Linked DNA regions of Drosophila melanogaster. The protein of the gene in region 1 interacts with the protein of each later gene in a pairwise test. Each region holds a gene or a part of one and is shown on either strand. Other genes may lie near its edges.

The links.
Region 2: the proteins of Lim3 (region 1) and how interact in a two-hybrid assay, tested with the Drosophila melanogaster proteins (one large-scale study listed by BioGRID).
Region 3: the proteins of Lim3 (region 1) and GATAd interact in a two-hybrid assay, tested with the Drosophila melanogaster proteins (one large-scale study listed by BioGRID).
Region 4: the proteins of Lim3 (region 1) and kmg interact in a two-hybrid assay, tested with the Drosophila melanogaster proteins (one large-scale study listed by BioGRID).

The regions. Positions count from the first base shown.
Region 1 is NT_033779.5:19,105,391-19,110,240, forward strand, and holds the start of Lim3 (Lim3), read right to left. Parts: upstream 3,038-4,850; 5' UTR 1,997-3,037; intron 886-1,996; exon of another isoform or gene 776-885; 5' UTR 682-775; coding exon 333-681; intron 1-332.
Region 2 is NT_033777.3:22,040,265-22,045,237, reverse strand, and holds the start of how (held out wings), read right to left. Parts: upstream 3,048-4,973; 5' UTR 2,883-3,047; intron 2,332-2,882; 5' UTR 2,175-2,331; coding exon 1,859-2,174; intron 1-1,858. UniProt on the Drosophila melanogaster protein: RNA-binding protein involved in muscle development and dosage compensation. Vital role in steroid regulation of muscle development and to control heart rate.
Region 3 is NT_033779.5:10,332,223-10,339,699, reverse strand, and holds GATAd (GATAd), read right to left. Parts: upstream 5,787-7,477; 5' UTR 5,626-5,786; coding exon 4,888-5,625; intron 3,920-4,887; coding exon 3,776-3,919; intron 3,679-3,775; coding exon 2,817-3,678; intron 2,756-2,816; coding exon 2,628-2,755; intron 2,560-2,627; coding exon 2,407-2,559; intron 2,333-2,406; coding exon 2,104-2,332; intron 1,682-2,103; coding exon 1,584-1,681; intron 1,469-1,583; coding exon 1,292-1,468; 3' UTR 515-1,291; downstream 1-514. Other genes in the region: SamDC (S-adenosylmethionine decarboxylase), read right to left, coding at 82-185; Cox10 (cytochrome c oxidase assembly factor 10), read right to left, coding at 6,729-6,961, 7,026-7,477.
Region 4 is NT_033779.5:13,158,936-13,163,676, forward strand, and holds kmg (kumgang), read left to right. Parts: upstream 1-1,591; 5' UTR 1,592-1,651; intron 1,652-1,857; 5' UTR 1,858-1,870; coding exon 1,871-3,427; intron 3,428-3,484; coding exon 3,485-4,171; 3' UTR 4,172-4,218; downstream 4,219-4,741. Other genes in the region: Pk34A (protein kinase at 34A), read left to right, coding at 9-1,183; DnaJ-H (DnaJ homolog), read right to left, coding at 4,615-4,741.

The DNA.
Region 1 (4,850 bases):
GGCCAACACATGGGCAAAGTGTATTCAAAGGGTTAACTTACAGCAGAAGTGAAATATACGGTTTTAACATGAAAACTGTATTCTCAATATTTACTAAAGCAAAATTAAGAAACCACGATATTTTTTAATGTAAATACGACTATTCTCTCTTTCATTTCAAAAATTGATAAATTGATAAATAAAATTCAAAAATGTAATCTAAGTTTGAAAACCAAACATTTTAATAATATACTATTCTTGGCAAACATTTTTGTTCACTGTGCAGGAAAATCTCCTAGGCAGCCTTCAGATGGACAGGACTGAATCAAAGATGGCATGACTTGGCCACTTACCCTCGAGCGCCCGGTTCCTGGAAATTAAGGCGAGCACCAGTTCGGGATTTGGGTCATCCTGGTCGACAGCCAGGTGATTGTGGTGCGGATGTTGCTGCTGCTGTTGCTGCCCACCGACCAGGTGAGATGCCTGCGGCGTGGGTGGCAATTGTTGCTGCTGCTGCTGCTGCTGATGGATATGCGGCTGATGTTGCTGGTGATTATCCATGGCTGACAGGTGCTGTTGCTGCTGCAACGGATGTTGCAGCTGCTGATGCGGATGTGGCTGCTGCTGAGGCGGATGCTGGAGCTGGTGCTGATGCTGGTGGTGATGATGTAGCGGTGGCGGTGGTTTCAGGGTTTGCATCATTGCTGAGGGGCCGGCGATTTGAACACGCGTCGTATGAGTTATATGTATATTTCAGTTAGCTTATTCCAATTGGCACACGTTTGTATCTTTAGCCCTGTTTGGTGTTTAAAAAGCAATCTTTGTGTTAGTTTACCGCACTCGTTTCCCGTTTAGCGTCTAAACGAGACTCCGCTAGGCGGGATCGCTGTCTGCTCGATAACTGGCATTGGTTTGTGCCCAACAGTGGCCCGGTTGACTGTTTTTCCCTTATCGCGGCGGTCTCTTTGGGTTTCGGTTTCTACGGTAGAATCTAGATTCCAGTCTTGCCACTCGGTTGGGCTCGTGCTCAGTGCTCGGCTGCTCTATCAGTTGAAGTAGCCAGGGACTTGAACAATTTGAATTTGTTTGCGATACCGGGGCACACTAGACCATCTATTGTTCGGGTGCTTTCGACCAAGTGCAAGGCGGGTAAACTTTATGTAAGCCGAGGATAGGGCCAAACTGATCGGTAGATATTCAAAAGACCGTTTGGCGCATATCTATTCATCGTCTATCACGAGGAGAATTCTCGTGCGAAGACAACAAATCGGATGTGCACTATACTATCTATCAAAAAACGGTCAATGTCCAAGGTTTTTTTATCAAAAACGAACTGCTAATGGTTCCCAAATCAAACAAAATAGTTAAAAAAAATTTTTGTGAAATATTATAACGTAGAATATTTGATAGCAAATATCCATTTAATAGTTTATCAGTATTTGAAAACTAGTTAAGATTGAAGATAATTTATTTTATAGAAATTCAAACAAACAAAATAGGTAAACAATTTATTTTTTGTGAAATATTAAAACGTAGAATAATTAATCGGAAATTTCCATTTAATAGTTCTTCAGTATTTGGAAACTAGTTAAGATTGAAGATCATATATAAATGAAACAAAATACTATGAAATTTATTTTATAGAAATTTAATTTTAGGAGCAAAGCTCCTAAGATTAAATTGAAATTAAAATGGCTAACATCGGGAGTTGGAAATCGCACATTAATCTTATTTTGATTGCCTTAAATCTTAAAACAAACAAAATCCAATCGTGTTAGTATTAAAATTCATATACTAAACATTTTAAAATCCTAAACGTATCTTGGTTTTGTAACTCTTCTCAACACAATTTGCTCAATAGACTTTTTTGTTTTAAGGATCTACTGTTAAAATGTAACATTCCATTTTTTAATCAAGCTGGCTTTCTTTTCAATAGTTCCTCAGAATTTTAGCCTTTTTATTGAGCCTTTCGTTATGCGACGGAATCGTAAAACCAGTGGAAATGATTTGCATTTACCCTATTAAAATTTTTTGCGTCACTTTAACACTCAACTCTAGTATTTGTTAACTTTGTTAATTATTGGCTGGTTTTTAATTTTCTTATTTCAACATTTCGTATTATTTCGTTTGAATTTTCTGCGGCACTTGAACGCGATTTTATGCGAACGCCATTTTGGCGACGGCATCGGCAACTTTAACGGTAACGGTAACGGATTCGGCAGCGAAAACGACGACGGCAAATGCGAAGCCAGTGCGACAAAATGGCGGCGGCATGGCTAACGGTGTTTGCCCAACGGTAAGGTAACGGTCTGGAAACGGTAACGGTGTCGGTAACGGTACGGCGGCAACCCTGGACGCGGCAACACTGGCAGGCGGCTGGTATTGTTGCTGGTGGGAATCCCCTCTATTTGCCGCGCTGCATCTTTATTTATTTTCTTGGCCGTCCAAACTGTCGTCTCTCCTTTTTACTTTGCGCACTTTTTCACGCTTTTTCTCGACTGTGCGAGCTTTTAACGCTGTTGTTTTTTTTTTTTTTTTTTTTTGTTTTTTGCCTTTCGTCTTGTATTCGTGTGCCGTTTGCCGTTTGCCTTTTGGCCGCCCACATGGGTACGCCGTGCGTATACGTACTATCTGTGGGTGTGTGCGGGTGTGCGGGCGTGTGTTTACCAATTGATCCTAATGTGACACAAATGATATGGTAAAATGCATACAGCCAGCCCTGAATGGCAGGACAACAATGGCAACAAGGCGGCGAGGCGACAACGCCAGCAGCGACAACATTTTTGTGCTTCTTTTTGGAGGCCGTGCGCATGTGTGTGTCGCTCTCTGGCGATGCCCATTTGCCCGAAAAGTCCAAATTCCAAGAGCATTACAATATTTGTAAAACGCAAAAACTTTAGCCTCGTCGAAAAAAGAAGGTGTGGAAACTTTTTTTTGTTTCCCTCTGCCTCAAGAAGCTTGAGCTGCAAAAGTGCAGGGGCAAAAAAAAAATGAAAAAAGGAAAACAGCACAGTGGGTAGAACAAAAAGCCAACCAACGTCGAGCGCGACACCTTCGTTGGCCCCAAAACAACAGTAAACAGCACTTAAAAGTCAGCAGCGACGTCGACTGAGGCGAAACAAATATGAGAAACTTAACTCAAAGGTCCAAGTCAATACGCGGCGCGCGGTCACCAAAAATGCGGGGTCTCCACTGGAAAACAGGCACCGCCCCTTTATATTGAAAATCGCTGGAAATCGGCCGACGATAGAGTCCAAAAGCAACAAGAACTTCCAGGCATGCGCAGGCAGTGGCCATTATCTTATCGCCCCAGCGTCGCCATTAAAATGGGGCTGGGGTGGCCATACGCTTCTATTCCTAGAGTTCGATGTCGTTCCAGCGCCGGCGCACTCGAAAACCCAAAGCTGGCAGGGTGATGGGAGAGGGGGGAAGTTGCTACTCCATGCCCGAGTCACCCGTTGCCCATGAGTTCGCTGTATCTGCATAGGATTCTCGCTGTCTGTGTAGTTTCGGAACCCCTATATCTATAGTGGATACTTGCCACCCGTCCCGAAAACCCCTTAAATGCGTTGCGTCTGCAAAAACGATTTTGTTTTCGCATTTATTTATGAGCCGCTTAGAGCGCGCCAAATACTTTGCCAAACACTTTGAACCCCAACGCCATGCTCGAGAACCCCACGCCCCCGCTCCCAACGGATGACCTCCGCCCACCCACCGAAGTGGACACTAGCAGGGAAGGTCGTTTGTGGGTTGGGTTCCGCGCTGCGGCGGAGCAAGGAACGCGAACAGCTGGAGTGCGTGGGTCGCTCGAAAAGTATGCCCGGTCTGAGAAAGTCTGCATAAAATGCCAGATACAAAGTACGTATAAATATTAGAAAAAAACATGATTCCATCTTATGCTGTAAAATGTATTACTTCATACTTATACTAAGACTTTTGTATCATCATCATTTACAGCTTGCCTGTAATATATATTGGATACTATTACACAGAAGCTAAACTATAAACTGTATAAACTATATTACATATTTCCTTTATTAAACATTCAGCATTTTCTTATTGGGCTTTCGTTACGCGTGCGGAACAACACGAAAACACGGCATACCCTTGAACCCAACTAGTACCGATTATAAAAAAATATAGGGTAAGAGCATAAAAATGCAGCGTGACCCTGAAACTGAAACTGATCGTGAATGGAAATGGAAATGGAAATGGCTGATGAAACCGATGCACTCAATCCAACGCGATCCCAATCTATGGCATCCCAGGCGGAGCTTCACTTCCGCGGTTACCAAATCGACTTTGACTTTCAAATTTTCCAACGCTTTTGTCGCAGACGTCTGTCTAATGGAGCCGTTAATGGTTAGACACATGAAGTATTTTGCCAAATGGGCTCGACTTGGGACGGTTAATTGCTGATGATGTGATGATATGGAACCGGATCGGCAGTGGGTTTTGGGGGGGATGGCGGAGATTTAGTAAGCAGCAGTGCTAGTGTTTGGATAACACATTTTAATAGACAATTAACAAGCAGTTTGTTTAAATTTTCTTCACCGACATTTTTAACTTTTGTCCGGCGATCTTGTTTTCGCTATTGTGTCTTTTGGTAGTTACATAAACATAAATCTCGGCAATGGGCCAGTCAGAAAGACAAAAAACTTGCTGCCACTGCACATTTTCACACATAGCCGGATTTTTGTTAACGTTGTTGGAGTTCCCCCCCAAACTTTTTATTGGAGGGTCTCGAGATTCGGAGCTCATTGAGACTTGGTTAAAGCGCAGCCAGCTCATTTGTAGATTCGAATGTCAGCGGTGAACAAGTGCGGAACCAGCGGAGCGGCTAAATACCCAAATTCCCCCCCAAAGTAAAT
Region 2 (4,973 bases), on another chromosome or scaffold:
TAGACAGGCAAACTAGTTTGCAGTTATGCCGAGACGAAACCAAAACAAGAATATAAGCTTTTGGGCGAGTTTTCCGACAGTGCGATACCTCCTGGTACCTGGTAATCAATAATCTGATTGGTCTAGATAAGACCACCGACTTCTTGGATATTTTCCAAATGAAGAGAGAAATCAAGATCTTGCATCTTATTATACAGACCATTTGCTATCACATTTCAAGTTTAATTGCAATAATTAAATGTAATTTAAATTGTAGTAGCAATTATAAACAAATTGATTAAGCAATATGGTAAAAAAAAACGTATATTAAAGTAATCCAAACATACGCTGTACATAATAAGTGTACTCTGGCCATCTAGCGGTACCTTGCAATCCGCAAATACCGCACCAGTATCTGAATCTGTGTATCTGTGCAACATAATTTTGTCATTACGAGGCGACACACACCCTCTTGGCCGGCCTGCATATGGGCAACAGATGTTGGGCAAATACAGAAACGAGAGCTCCGATATGCCAGATACAAGATACAAGATGCGACCAGGTAGTGCCACGCCCCTGCCCCTATACCGCCCCTATCCCGCCCCGAAAGTTGACTTTTGTTGGCTTGCCTTTAAGAGTTTTTGCTTCGTTGCCGTATATTTATTCATATTTTCTTTTTTTTTGATTTTTTTGGTTTTCGAGGCAAAGCGTGGGCAGTTGAGGTACATTTTTCCTCTTTCAGATAAGTTTGCTACACGTTCAGTGCACAGAGCAAAGCAGATCATTAAATGGATCCAATAATATTCCAGATTCGAAAATTTTAAAACTTTTAGCATATGTATAAATTCATACATGCTTGTGAATAAAATGATCTCTTATCACATAATACCACACCACATTAATGTTTCTATCTTTGTTGGGGGTTCCCCCCCTGGGGTTTCGCATCTCCTTCTGCGTCTCTCAAAATCCAAGCCTCCCTCCTTTTTGGTTTACGAATGGCCGAGTCAACAAAGAATTCATAATGAGAACAACAAAGGCTGCACTGGCAGTCAAGTGTGGAGCCAAGAATACAAAAGGAGAGAGCCCGGAGAGAGGTGTAAGTAGTGTGCGCTCCGCGAAGAGGCGCACAAAAAGGAAGTAACTAAAAATAACAAACATCTCGTTTCGGTTTGTAAGGTGGAATGAACTCAGAACCCGCGATGGAGAAGATGCCGAAAAGGAGACGCCGAGGAGACAAACCAGACACCCAGAGATCCATGCCCCAAAACTGATTGAACTACAGTGATCACTTGGTTAGAGGCACCCTAATCATTAACACGCCTGGCACACACGATTGAAAATGAAGTCACCACTTTAAAATAACATATATACTCATTTAAACTCTCCCATTTACCCAAATGTGTTCTAAATACCTACAGTCTCTGTAATACATGTTTACAATAAATCCCGCCAGATTCTCGGAATTAAAGTGCTTTGCAAATATTTTTTGAACAATTAAAAAAGATATAAACCAAACTGTAATGGCATCGATTTGTATACTACAATAGTTTAATGTTCTTTTCATGAATTTTTGGAATACAAACACAAAGTTCTAATACATTCTAGAGTTAAATATCTGAACATTATAACAAGAATATCCAAATTTCTTCTTTCACCACATTTCATCACATTTATTATATATAACAATTTCCTAATGGTACTGTAAAGTGTTTGATGAATAAAAGGATATTATCACAATAACAAACAGTAACTGGGTTTATCGTTTGATTCAGAAAAGGCTAGCTAGTGATCGTTATCCTTCCGCTGAGTCTTGGATCCGGGATTAGGATGATGCTGTGACTTGGAGGGATCTCACTCGGTTTGAGTTTTAGCGACTTACCTTCGTCCAGCAGGCGTTCGACGTGGGTGAAGACGTTGGGGAAGGCGGCCAGTTGCTTGCGGTCCTTGAGCAACTGGGCCAGATAGTCGGCGATGCTCTGTGTGCTCTGCTGCTGCTGCTGTGGGGTCAAGTGCTGCGGGGTCATGGGGACCACCACCTGCGGCGCCTGTTGCTGCTGCTGTGCCTGAGCCTGAGCCTGGGCTTGGGCTTGAGCCTGCTGCTGTTGCGCGACCGCAACAACTGCTGCGGCTGCCTGTTGCTGCAAGTGCTGCTGCAGTTGCTGTTGCACAACGGCTTTGCTCTCACAGACACTCATTTTGTTGCGTGCGTGTGTGATGTGTGGGTTTTTGGGAACTTTTTGTTTTGTTCTCGACGAGATTCTGGTTTTCAACTTTCAACTTTCCTTGGGTCTCTGCTTTCTTTACTTGGTGCACACTTCTTTTTTATTTGTTTTTGCTACTTTTAACACGTTACTGTGGGAGTTGGGAAATTCATTAAGTTTCGTACGCGAGCGATATTAAAAACGGAAAACGAAATGAAAACAACTCCGCCCAAAAGTATTTTTTCCGATCGGCAGCAACAACAATGCAGGGCGAGAGATACTGAGAGAGCGAGAGAGCGCAGCAAGTCGAAAGCGAAGGCAGAAAATTCCTCGGCGATCGCTCACTCACACACGGACAATAAACAGTAAAACTGTATATGCGACGGAGATGAATGAAAGCAGAATGTCAAAATAGCTGCCTCTCTCTCTCACCCTCGCTCATTTGGCTGCTGCAACAGCAAGTACAACAAAAAAGTATTTAAATAAATTTTATATTCAAATTTCTACGTTTTGAAGATACAAAGGTATAAATTCCTTTGCCTGGAGATGTACCGAGTGCACAAGGCCACTTAACCGATTTAAAAATGCAAGAAAACTCGCAGAAATATGCACAGTTGCTGATTATGTATTTGTTGTTGCTACTGGATGGCTTTGGATTTTATTCATTTCGTTTTGTTTGGAAAGTATTTTTTTTAAACACACTTTTCTTCTCTGAGGACTCCTATCCTTTGTTTATTTGATATATGTGTATATGGATTTTATTCGAGTCGGGGAATAGCGAACGGATCTCGGGACTTTACTGAACGATTCCTCCTAATTTTCCTACCACTGAACCGTGCGCAAAGAAAGAGAAAAAGAAACTGAATGCGAAGCGAAGAGCACAAAACGTTGTAAGTGTGAGATCATGCCAGTTCGATCGTGGGGTGGTGGTTTCAATGTGCTCTCGTTTCTCTGCTCTCTCGCCCAGTGACGTCACAAAGTGCGATTGCTTTTAATAAATATTTAAAAGCCAATATTTGGTTATATATTTGGGGGTATTTTTGATCTAAATTAACTAATTTCTAATATATCAGTGCTTTTAACTACTCGGTGACGTTTAGTCAATATTTGCATAACCATTTCCATAAAAAATACGCCAATACCCATCTTGTGACGTCAGTTTCTCTCTGACTTGGCTCTCTCGCACCCTACTGCCAGCATGCGAGATCACCCATCAGCGTTGCCACTCCGCACAAACAGAGTTGCGCAGCTGGTTAACATATTACACATATTTTAGCCAAAAGTGCGAGTATAAAAGTTAATAAATGGCCAAATAAGTTAATAGCAACTAAATACAAAGGTGGGCCATTAATATTCTTCCAAATGGAGGCTAGTTAATGCATTAATTGACTAACAACATTCAGCGTTGCCACCTGGTAGCTGGGTGGGCCACAATTTGGCGCGTTGGCGTTGATTTTGAATTAATTAAGACACTGCGCTGTGGAGGCATTAATTGCGCACGGAAATTGCTGGCAGATTAGAACCAAGCGGCATTTTGTTTCGCCGGACATATGCGGGGGCTGGCATCTGGGCCCCAAGTCCAAAACACCATGCAAATGAGCCCCCGAACTCGTACTGGCCAAATGTTGGTGTTAACTTGGTTAACTCTGCTGCAAAACGCGAAATGTATGTGGGAAAATTGGCATTCGCGAGCGTTTCGATGGACGCACCATATAAGCGACCCTAGGCCGGCGACAACTTTTACTTTCCATCGCGAAAGACATTTTTCGCTGGCTTCCGTGTGGTTGGCGAATTTCACAAAAATTCAACGCAGTATTAAGATATTGCGTACTAAAAATAATTAATTATCGATAAAGTGTATCAAAATAAAACAATCTTTTAAGTCTACAAAGCTACTTTTATTCTAAAATTTTACTCGTGTTCTGTTCACATTTAGGTCCTTCCACTATTACAACACTTAATGCCAGTGGATCGGTGAACTTATTGTGTGTTGCCTGTGTCTTCAACAATATTTTGATATACATATATGTATGAGGATCACTTCATTGCAACAGTCTTCCCCATCGGAACCCAAAATTTCTGGGGCGGCACATCTAGCCAACGGCAGGCATGGGGCAAGATCCGATTTTTGAAACCAGCATACACCAAAATGAGACGTGAAAGTTTAAAGTTGTGGCCAAAGTTGTGGATGGACATCGGATTGGTCGTTCCATTGGAAAGCAGACTCCCACCACCGGACCTCACCTGGCCAAGTTTCACAGTCCGGCCACAAGTCCCACCAAATTTGTGTGCACTTGGCTCAAACCGATCGGAATTGGCCTGTGTGTGTGGGCCGACATTAAATGCGTTGTACGGCCCCATTATACAGTTTTAGTGCCATTGAAAAATGTGTCAATGTGCGTGGCGATTGAGACATTGTATGCCTATGGATGGATATCCGATTTAAATCTCTGGGCCACAGACCAAAGCCCTTTCCAATCCGCACACCCACGTCGCCCAGTATCGGCCCATTGGACATCTGGCCAAGTCCGAAGTGCCAAGTTTTCCGTGGGCCGTTAATCTCTCTAGTGCTTTTGGAATTTGCCCTTTTGAATGTGGTGTTTTACATTGTGAGTGGGTCGTTTTGGGCGGCACTTTCGGTTTTGGAAAACCGAAATGGCCGCAAAATAAAAGTTTTCCAGCAGCTGTAAAGTTAGGCGAGAAAATGCTTGAATTGGTTCAAGTTTTGTGTAAACTGAAAAGTTCAGAAATTTTGGTTATGCACCATTAGTTCAACAACCTAAATCTAAAGTC
Region 3 (7,477 bases), 8.8 Mb from region 1:
ACTTTTGCCCGCAACTGTGCATGCACTTGTGCACAAAGGACATGTCGGCTGTTTGGGTTCCGCACTTGTTGAGGGACTCACCTGCTGATGTTACGCAGATCATCGTCACCGTTGGAGCTCTCCTCAAACCAAATCTCAAGGAGTTTCTCAACGCCCTCGAAGAAGTGCGAACCGTTCTCCAACATGCTGCTGGCTGGCAATAACAAATGGATCTGATCTGATACCAAAACAACGCCTGGTGATGTAAAGTAAACGATGGGACTATCGATGCGAGTGCTTGTTGTACTACATCGATAATTCGGGAGTCTAACAGCATGTTTCCACTTACAGCATTTCTCATTGAACAGTCGGCGGTAAAAATGTAAGTCCCTTTCTATTCGAATTAAGATACTTAAATATCTTTAATATATATTTTTTCAAATTCTCATCATTAGTTTAACAGATTTTTCGGTTGCTTATCCCATACCCCAGGCAAATAGTTAAAAAAAAACAGTAGAATTTGGATTTTCATTTTACATTAACCAGTTTTATTGTGATTGTTAAAAATTGTATAGAGTATTTTATTTGAAAAAATAAATGAGTAATATTTTTTGTATCTTAGCCTATTATGAAGTCCTTATTTTATTTAGACAATTTATGTAGATTCGAAAACAGCATTAAGTTTTTTAGTTTCTTATAATTGTATATAATTTAAATATTTCCTTGAAAAGTTTGCATTGCGTGATTATTGCTTTTTGCATAGTTTTACTATTAAAATGTTTTGTGGAGATTATTATATTATCACATGATTTTCGTATAGGCAAGAGATTTAAAACATTATTATTTTTTAGCTTTAGAAGTTGTTCAATTGCAAAGACAGCTGAAAAATCATTGTTAAAACTGAACTTTTCATTTTAATAGAAGCGATTTGTGTTATTAAAAAATTAAAAATACTGTAAAATGGTTTTAATAAATATAAATATAATAAATTTTATTTTTAATTTAATTGCATTAAGTATTGATGTCCTCTCTTAAGGTCTATATTTAGTGTGATATTATTTAAAAGTTTTGACATACTGGTTCAATTTTCATACCTCTTTTACACTAATAAGTATTTTGGTATTAGTTTTTAAAGATACAAATGAATAAAATTTAGTTTTAAAGAATGAAAATTTTATTAATAATCTATACGTATTTTTAATCCTATACCATTTGTTTTTCTCTCTTACGCGACCTCATAAATAAACAAAATGTGGGTTAAAGGTTCTTCTTTTTTTTTCGAAAAGTGAGTAGGGGGAATATATTTGGCGTTTTATGTTAACTTTGCATTATTTTCACTGGAAACAAGGTTAAGCGGTGCGGATAGATCCGCACTTTCACAGGTATCATTAAACGCCGGCAAAGAATTTGACTTCTTACGCCTTGATAAAATATCTTTAAGTGCTGCTGCGGCTGGGGTCTCGGTATCATCAATTTCCTTTTTGAATTTCTAAAATAAAAACATATTAGAAAATTGAAGTTTAAGTGTATTTAAATCTTATGCAAATAGATCTAGTTGATCAATCTACTTATCAAGACTTTAAAGTAATAGTGCAGATACATACATTTAAAACAAGGCCCGAAATGGCTAGAGATTCCCTAGCCGTCAAGAAATCTTGCTTCGTTGTTTCTATTGAAGAACATGATGACATTTGTTTGTGTTCTGCAAAAGAAAGTGTATATTTATAATTTTCGCAAATAAATCATACAATTAATAATGAAAGGCTCGTAGATATTTATTCAAACTTGAGCAGTTTAACGACTTAACAGGCACGTCCAATGCCATCTACAACAATGACATCATAAAATATGATTGGACAAGCAAGAAAATATTTTGGGTGGGTACGCGGTTAATATTCCGATTGCTAAATCAATAGCTTAATGAACATATTAACAGAAAAATAAATTGTTTTGGCAAGTTACATTTAATTACCAACAATAAAATGGTCAGGGAACATAAAAAAAAAACATTAAGTAAACAAATTGTTTTCATTGTTAGATACTCAAAAAATAAATAAATCTATGGGTCACAGAGGGCTAGCTTTCGAATCGAAAAATGTAGATAAATTTCGAACTCTCACTCACTCTTTTTAGATCGCTCCAATTCTTTAGGACGCCTGCGTCTGGTGTGTATGGTATCGCGTCTCATTGAATGCGGCCTGTTGACCCCATGCAGCTTGAAGTACAATCCGCAGGCGTTGCACACCATCTCTCCTCGAACACTTCGCCGCCAAATTGTTGTGGTGAGGGTGCCACAATTCGAACATGACATATCTTTTTGAGCACCAGGTATGGCATTAAAAAGGTTTATGTTCTACGAAATCGGAATTGAACCAAGAAATAATATAATTAGTATGTGATTCAATGAGGATGACTGTGATAACGTACCCTTTTATCTTTCTTATCATCCGGAGTTGCTTCTGAAGTGGTATAAGTATCAGTCACATTCTCATTAACTACATCGATGCAATCAGTTTTGGTAGGAAAACTTTGTTTTCTTCTACATGGTTTTGATTTGCTGGATTGAGCCTCTGATAGATCCTAAGAACACAAAGAGTATTAGACTTTCCTATAGCTACTTGCTACTTGAAATAGAAGAAATAGTTTACCTTTAATAGTGCTATGGGTTCTTCAGGTACTTTTGTAAATGATACTGTCGACGGAACCGGAAACGCGAAAGGCTGGCTCATCATATTTCGAAATATTTGTGATGCCGGATTGTCCTCCTTGCTTTTAGCTATCAAATTGAAATGTTTTTCATAATAATATGCGGTCAGTGGTCGGATAATAATACGTACCGGCTGATCTGGCCAGTGCCTGCCAGAGTTGAGTAGTTGCCGCATCTGTGGCGTGATCCGAGCTTAAGCTATCCGGAGTCTTTCTATCATTTATGGAGGACGTGATGTCCATCTCTAGTTTGTGAGAGTCGGAACTATCGCCAGAGTCTAGCAAGGAGCCGGTACTCGCCTTGGGTGCTTTTGATTTGAAGTCGGACCCACCAACTTGGTTAATGGTAATACTGTAGTTTTGAAAATCCTCTTCACTTCTTAAGTGTGACTGAATATCAAGCATTGGAGTTTGGCAAAAATGGTGTATTGGGGCCGCGTTCCGTTGATTAGAGTAATCGTTCTTTTGTTTTTTGACGGATAGGTCAATTTCAACACCGTCCTGAATTTCATTTTGGTTTGATGGACGTTTTGATTTTATCACAGAACTTTTAATACTTGTATCTACAGCTGCAGAAAAACACGGAGATTGCGGATTCGAACATGGAGGGGAAATTACTATTTTTTTGCTTATATCCATTAAAACGGCAGCCGTTTCAAGCTGCTGCTGCAGATTTTCATATTTCTCGATATCCGAGTCCTTTTGCAGTTTTGAATCAAACTGGCTGTGTGAGGATCCAGACATTGCTTTGCTCTTTTGATCGCTTTTCATAGTAATTGATTTGAATAAACTTGGATATAAGCTATGTGCTGGCATTTCTTGATTGCTAATCTCGATTTTCCGATCCAAGCCGGGTTGGATGCTGGAATCCAATTTACTGTGGTCGTACTTAACTTTAGAGAACGTGCTTAACTCCGTCAGAGCCTTTGCCGCTATAGCCTCCGATGAAGCCTTTAAAATTGCATCGAGCTTGGTTTCCAAATCATTTGGGTCCTGCAAAAAACATAGTTCGTGAGTAGTAATTCAAATGGTCATTTAATTTAATGGCGTATGACTAACTAAGTTCCTTCCAATCAATACTTATACTTACTGGTCTCAGATTTTTGGATATATTTAAAAATTCTTTCAAAGCTATTTGTGAATTGTGCGCCATGGTTCGAAATTTTTCGAAGGAATCCAATTTTTGTCTGCAGTCGCCACAAACCACGTTGGGTAATCCATCGTTGGGCAGTGCCTGAAAGAAATATGAATGTATCTTATACTGCAGTATCCACTTTTAATATTCAGTTGGCTAGCAATGAGAATGATGCAATGACTAAGGAGCAAGGCGGTAACAAAATCGATCGATGGGATTGATGACTGGTTATACTTGGAACTAAAAGAAGAACATTGGATGCTTTGATATTGTATAAATCAAGCTAAAACTATTTGTATTTTAATCAATTTTATCATTATACATGTATTAAAACTTTAGTATACAATTTATATCTCTGTAAATCTCATGAAACAAATTATTTTAATTGAAAAAAATTAAAAACAACCCTATAAAATGATAAAAAAAAAAAAAAATAACATATGTTCATCTACGGAAATAAACACTAAAGCTCATGAAATGCATTAAGAGCACAAATTATCAAATCAATAAATAAATAAATACATAATAACAAATGAAAGTACTCGAAGTATGTAAAAAAAACACATTGGGGCCATATAAGGTGTATGTACGTCGGTATATCCGCACTTAAACAATCGAAACGAATGTTATCTCTTTGGTGGATTAATGTATGTAGGTCTCTAACATACATCCATGCGTGCATATACACACACGTATGTACATAGCAATATTTACATTCGTGCGCTGGACACTGATGTACGAGTGTGGCGTGGTGTGCGTGGGCCTGGGCCAATGCCTTGCAATGGTTCATCGAAAAAATACCAAACAATTGATACCGATTGTTAATAGGCCATGGGATAAAAGCGGCCCAATCATTTCCTATTATTTTGACGTGTGGTGTCGTAATCACATAGATAACACACACCAGCGCACGGCAAGCACTCGCAAAAGTGCGCGTGTGTGCGGGCATTATCGTGTACATATACGCGATATATCCAACTCACACACAGGTAAGAGCATGCTTGTGTATGTGCGTAATTAATGTAAATTCGTTTCTTTGCAAATGTGTTGGATGGAAATCTGCTTACCTTAATAGAGAGACAGTTGAATATCTGAAATGTAAGATGTGGTGATGATGAATCATCCCGACCGTGCTCTTTGCCGTAGTTATCGGTTCCGCTTATATTTGTTGTATTCACACTTGTCTCTTCGCGTCCGCTCTGCTGATTATGATTATGCTGATGTTCCTCCTCCTCGCGCATTGGCTCCGATTTTGTTTGGGATTGGGATAGCGATGCGGAGGGGGATGGCGTCTCCCCGCTATATTCTATATGTTCGTGATCCGACGATGACTGACTTTTGAATACTGTTGATCTCTCGGCGATGTCCGACTCCAATTGGCATTGGCGTTCGCGCTCACTCGACTTTGCGTCCGCAGCAGAAGGCACACTTGGCGTGTAATGGATTTTAGTTTGGTTTTGGTGATGGTGAAGGGTTTGCGATTGGATCTGCTGGCTTGGAACGGGCACAGGCACGGAAACGGGTATGGGTATGGGCACGGGTACGGGTGTTCCCTGGTTGCGCCGTTCATTTTTGTTGGCTGATAGCGGGTTATCAACGATGCAACTGCACGGATTGGGGCTTAAAGCGCTGCAAAAGCAGTTGGCACGATTCGCGACGCCACGAAAATCGGCCGATATTCTGTCTGGGGCACTATTATTATGCGACGAATTATCGTAAATCTGTAGTACTGCAACATCGCACTCGTTAACCAATGTGAGGCACAATCGACAAACTTGACGAAACTTATGTGGTACATTATTCATAATTAGAAATTTATATTCGTTTTGCACTGTGTAAAGAAACTTTCATACGCCTCTCCTTTATCGCGATAAAAAAGATAACTGGTAAAATAAATTATAAAATGAATGTAAACACTATTCCTCAATTTTTCATTGTCACAATCCACGTTCAGCTCACTAAAAATAATTCACTCCAGTGGTTCGCCACAGATTTTTCGCTCATTTGATCTAGTTTCCCGTTCAAATTACCAAACGAGGGCTCCAGCGATAGTCGCGTTAGCTGCATGATTCATCTCGGCATCGCGATAAATCAGTGATTATGCTAATGTGCTTCTGTGATAAAACATCAAGGCTATTGCAACACAATACAAAATATTGTTCTTTTCATTTGTAAGACCAACGCATACAGCAGAGGAACCAGTGAAATATACTGAAATAGGGGCAACTTTTTGGTATTTCTGTTATCGATAACGTACAGCTATACTCATTTTTAGCTAGAAATTTTTGACTATTTATCTGACGGATTTTACTATTATTATTAAAATTATTTCAATTGCGGAATATAGTTCCTAAAATAGCTAGAATACTTATCCCTAGGAAATGCGCATGTCGTTTTTTAATCTTGGAAAAAAAACCCTCCAAAGGAATAAACTCTGGAATCTGAAGAAGAGATGCCTTACAATGCCTTAAATAATACGTTCGATTCGATTGCTACAATTTATCAAAATAAAATAGATTTAAATTCCTTATTTTCAACAACCGATGAAACAACGGGAAACGGGATTACTTCCACTAACAATTTTTACCGTTTCCGTGCTTTTTTTGAAACAAGTGCTCAAAGAACAATATAATAAGGTCATACTTAGAATCTTGCAATTTAAATTACTGTACGGCTTAAGATTCCATGCCAAATTGTATATTTTAAATTTATTTGTATTCAGCGCCGGATTGGTTACACCGCATATTTTTCAAGGATGTCGTGTCATTTATTAGGCGCAACATATATTTGCCGCACAGGGGTACGTGTTTCCTTAATATTAAATGACTGTTTTTACAAGTTGCAGAACACTAAGTATATTTAAATTTCACACGATACTTAACATTTTATCAAATTAATGTTAATATTTCTATCTGGGTCCTTCGGCTACGGCGACGGGCAGGACATTACCAAGACTGCTAGCAGAATGCTTTATCGCACTGTACGTGGACTCCTTTTTGTTCTCCTCACCGGCGGGTTTGCTGAAATACCATTCCTTCTTATTGGTCAGAAATAGCAGCATCAGGGCGGGCAGGTGTATCAGTGAAAATCGGAACAGCTTCCGCGAGCTCCCACTATCTGACTTTTCATGAAACTTGTACGCTGCAAGCAAACAGAACGTATTAGACATAACATATAGGATTCCATGGTTAATGAGTATATTTACCAAGGTAGGCGAAGTACGCGTTCAGAGGTAGTGTTTCCAAGGCAAACCAGTAGTTCGTGACGTCCAGTACGGGTGCCATGGCTGAAAGTCCGACAATAGCCACCGAATATCGCAGCGCAGTGCGGCGACAAAGACCCGGATTGGTAACGGCCATCATTCGGTAGCCGGCACGTGAATAATCCGGCCGGAGGTTCCACGACAGAGCGTTGAAGTGCGGGAACTGCCACGCGTACAGCACTCCGGCTAGGATCATGGCGCCGGCGTCCAGGGTGGCTGCACAACCAGCCCATCCCATCAGCGGAGGAATGGCGCCCACTATCGATCCCACCCAGGTATTGACTATGCTGATACGCTTCATCGGTGTGTATATCGTGGTGTAGAGGAACAGGTTACCCGCTCCCAGCGCCGCCGTCAATCCATTTACTCCGAAATACAGCATACTTAAGCCGGCA
Region 4 (4,741 bases), 5.9 Mb from region 1:
TTCTTAAGAAAATAAAGAAAAGAAGCAAAAGCCCCTTAAACGCCATGCCCAAGTTCCACTCATCATTCCCAAGAACTCAGTGATCAGCACCTATGCCGTCGGTCGCCTCTGTTCGGAACCTGCTTTGGTCAGGATTGAGGTTAAAGATCTGATTGGAAGTGGATCCTTTGGCCGGGTTTACCAGGCTCATGTGAATGAGTCCGAGGAAATAGTGGCCGTTAAGCAAACCCTTTACAATCCGAAGTTGAGCCAGGGCGAAGCAGAAATTATGGGTCAGCTAAAGGACCACAACAACATTGTCCGGCTCATCATGCACTCGTCCGTGAGTTTGGGCTTTCCGTCAGTGGACTACGTTTTGCTGGTTATGGAGTACATGCCTATGACTTTGCTGGACTATATCAACTATCACCTAACGGTGCTACAGCCCGCAGAGCGCCTAATCAATGTCCGCATACTCTCGTATCAGATGTTCAGAGGATTGGGATATCTTCATCTATTGGGCATTTCCCACCGGGACGTCAAGCCCGAGAATCTGCTGATAGACAACCAGAAGATGGTGCTTAAGCTAAGTGATTTTGGAAGCGCCAAACTCCTGGTGCCCCAGGAGCCCAGTATAAGCTACATTTGCTCCAGGCTTTATCGTGCTCCGGAGCTTTTTGCCGGGTACGAACTTTATTCGTGTGCCGTGGACATCTGGAGTGCTGGTTGCGTCCTGGCGGAGCTGCTCAAGGGATATCCGCTCTTCTCCAGCCACAAACATGACCGAAAGCAGCTGCGACTCATCGTTAATATGCTGGGCACCGATGGCTTGGAACGAGCTCCTGAAATACTCTCAAAGTGTGGAAATTCACTTCACCCACGGACCACTCGTCCCAGTTGGAATTATCTCCTGAATACGGCTGTTCCGCAGGATCTGTGCGGTCTGTTGAACTCGTGTTTCATCTATGAAGCCGCCGCTAGAATCTCACCTATGATGGCATGTAGTCATGGTTCCTATGATGAATTGCGCATCATGGACGCCATGGCGTTGCCCATGCCCAATGGCAATCCGCTCCCCCCTCTGTTCGACTTCAACAGCCTGGAGATGGGTACAGATCCAAAACTTTGGGTCAACCTATTACCGATCCATTTGTCTTCAATGGAGGACAAGTATTCGGTCGTAGAAGCCTTTGAAGCAGTCTAGAAGATTTTCAAAATAAACTAACTATGGCAGGGATTTTTCAGGTTGTTCAAATATCTAATTGTCCTCTTGTTACTGATGTTAAGTGTCCTGCCCTGGAAAGGAAAAAAAATAAATAATAAAAATGTATTACAAAATAATATTAAATAACATTTCAGCGATAACATGAAATTATCATTTGGATGGAAATAAAACCTGTTAAAAAACTTTTCTTAAGATGCAAAATAGATACACTAAGAAATGTTTAATATTTTATTACAATAATTCTTATTTATTAAAATCTAAAATTAAATAGGCTTATGTTAACATTAACATTGGAACCACATAAACACTTGGAACCGAATCTTGAACCGGAACCATGCGTTTTTTATTGACACCCAAGAAGCAAGTTTTATAAATTGTGGTTATGTGAAAGAAAGAATGACATTGCTATTTTTATAAAATATAAAATAAAACCTAAACCTTAATTCGGTGAGAACTACGAATTTTTTATTTGGCATTTGAACATCTCACGTCCCTGAGAACTCGTTTTCTGTCATATCGAAGTAGCCCTTGGAAAAGCCAAAAGAAGTTTAGCAGGACCATCGGAAAAGTGAATCAGTCTTACAGGAGAACTCGCACCGGACGGTTGAAAAGTGTTCTGTGAAAAAATCCAAGGAAAATTTTGCTTGTTTCAGATTTTGTCAAGTCATGGAGCTGCCTTCAATGGTGGAGCGTTCGGGTGATCGCTTGGTGGTGCGCAGCTTGGTTAGTGGTGCTCCACTTTATCAGTCATCTATTGAGGGCGGAGCAGGTGCTGTGCTTCCTATGTCCCAAAGCGTGCAGCCGCTAATAGGTCAGGACTTTTTGGAGCAACAACTGGAGCAGTATAAGGCGAATAACTTTATGTTTCCACTATCGATGGCCGGGTTTGTTTCCGCAGACTCTGCACCACCGGGGGACTTGGCCAAGGAAAATATGGAGAACTCACTGCCAGATGGTAATCCGTGCAACAACAACAACGACGATGAGCTGCCGCAGTGCAAGATACGGCGTAACTACAGCTGCAACCAGTGCGCATTCTTCACGCAAAATCCGCGCAGTCATCTCTCGCATCTGCGGGACGTACATGGCGAGCGGATTGTGATCAACGAGTGCAAGTTGTGCCTCTATGCCTCACGCCACTTCCAGAAGCTGGTGCGGCACATGAAAATGGTGCACGGCTGTTCCGATGATGGCGGCGCAGTGCAGGGATCAGGTGCTCAGCCGCGTGGTAAGCGAAATCTCTCCAGGGAGGTGCGCAAGCGTCGTCTGGAGGAGAGCATTGAAGGCCAGGGTGCGACTGGGCAATGCCTAGACCTCAGCGTGCTGCGCATGATCCAAAATGGACCGCCACTGGAGCAGCTGAAAGTAGAACTGCAGCAGCAAGAGATGCAGCTACTGGCCAGTGTCCAGGCGTACAATCGACAGCAGGAGATGCTGCAGCTGCAGCAGATCGTCGAGAGCCACGACAACATATTCTCCATGGCCTACGAGTTCCAGACCAAGTTAATGCCGCCTAAGCAAGCAGAGTCCCTGAAATTGGAACAGCAAAACAGCAGCTCCGATTCCGAGGAGACTGCGAAGAGTCCTTCGCCGGATACCCGTGAATTGGTGTCGGGTAAGGAGCAGTTTCAATGCCAGAAGTGTTCATATAGCACGCCCATTCGAGCCAGATTCAAAAAGCATGTGAAGTACCATTCCATGCCACTGATCAAGTGCAGCTCATGTGATTTTCACACACCCTACAAGTGGAATCTAGACCGGCACACCAAGAACCATGGTGCCAATGGCCATTTCAAGTGCTCGTGCTGTGACTTTAGCACGGATATCAAACAATCGCTGACCATACACGAATCAAACCATCATGTGCCCATGCCGGTTCACCAAATGGGCAACCGAAGCCGAGATGAGGCTGAGGATCTGGTGGATCAGCAGTCAAGTGGTTCCAGGAAACCAGAAACGTTTAAAAATGGTGGTGCTACCGTTGCATCGACAGAATCTCTGCTTCCCCGGACTTCGGGGATCGTTTGTTCACACTGCCAGAAGCGGGTGGGCAATGCCATGCAGTTGATCAACCATCTACAAGTGTGCACTTTGGCCTTGCACAACACCACCCAACTGCAGGCTTCTATCAACGCGGAGGTGGATCTTCACGATGAGGACTTCCCCAATGCTCCCACTGATCTCAGTTATTGCGGCGTAGAAACAGCTCCTGGCTATGGGGAGGTAAAGTCCATATATATATAAGTACATGGTGTTGCAAACTTATCCCTTTAATTTCAGGTCACAGAAGTTTTGCCAGAGGAACCCGAAGATTTGGCGCCATTGAAGAAGGTTTTTAAGTGTCCTCATTGCAGTTTTTGGGCAGCCACTGCATCTCGCTTCCATGTCCACATCGTTGGTCATCTAAATAGGAAGCCCTTTGAATGCTCTCTGTGCGCCTATCGCTCCAACTGGCGCTGGGACATCACCAAGCACATCCGTTTGAAGGCCCTCCGCGATAGATCCCATAACCAGGCCCAGGTGCTGATGAACGATGAGACCGGTAGGCGCAACTACGCCAAGTACAATCAGTATCTGACTATGATGAAGGTAAGCGCCGAACAATTGGCCGATTCGAAGGGAATGCGCACGGGTGAAATGATTGTGATGCCGCCGGAGAAGCTAGACGACCATCATCCCATGGAAACGGAGGAGATCATCGAGATGGTGGATAGTGCTCATTCGACCTCGGCACTGGATTTACGAAAGCCCAGGGATGACCAGACGGAGGACTTGGCAGGCAACAGCGATGAGCTGCCGCAAGAGGGAGCCAAGACGGAGCCAAATTTAGAACCCTTGTCATTTAAATCATTGAATTCATCACAAGTCATGCCAAAGCCCAAAGGGTCGCCTATGAATTTGACCAAGACAGATGGTGGTCAATCAGACGAAACGACATCCGCTGATGAATCCAATGAAAGCGATTAAAACGGATCTTTCGAATCTTTGAATACTCAATTCTCAGCAACAATATTAAAAATTAAATAAAAATACGTAAATCGATTTAAATTTATCCGGTTTTTAAGATTTCTATGAGAGAACTATTATTGTGTATTCGTTTATAGTTTTGTAGGGATAATTGGGGCAAGTTCAGCCCAAAAAATAGGTACCAATAAATAAGTAGTTAATAGTTAATTTAGCGTGGCTAATGTATTAGTGACAGATCAGCTAAGCTTTAGTCTCGAATAATAACACTACGAATTTAGATCACGCGCTTTTCACAGCAAACATTCCTGTATGAAAAATAATACTATGCATATCAGGACGAACAGCGGCACCAGGAAGCAGACTTCATCTACGCTGAAAGTGCCCAGGATGAGCCACAAATCGAGGCAGAGATACCGCGCCTGCAGGAGCCACAACCACATGCACTAAGCCGTCTGGCACTGTACGCCCTCAAAGTGAGACGACTGTCCGTCCTCGTCTTCCTGCTGTCGTGGCTGCGGCTTATAGTCCGTCATTTGCACTTCCTCGGCGTTCTTTGGGATCACTATCGGC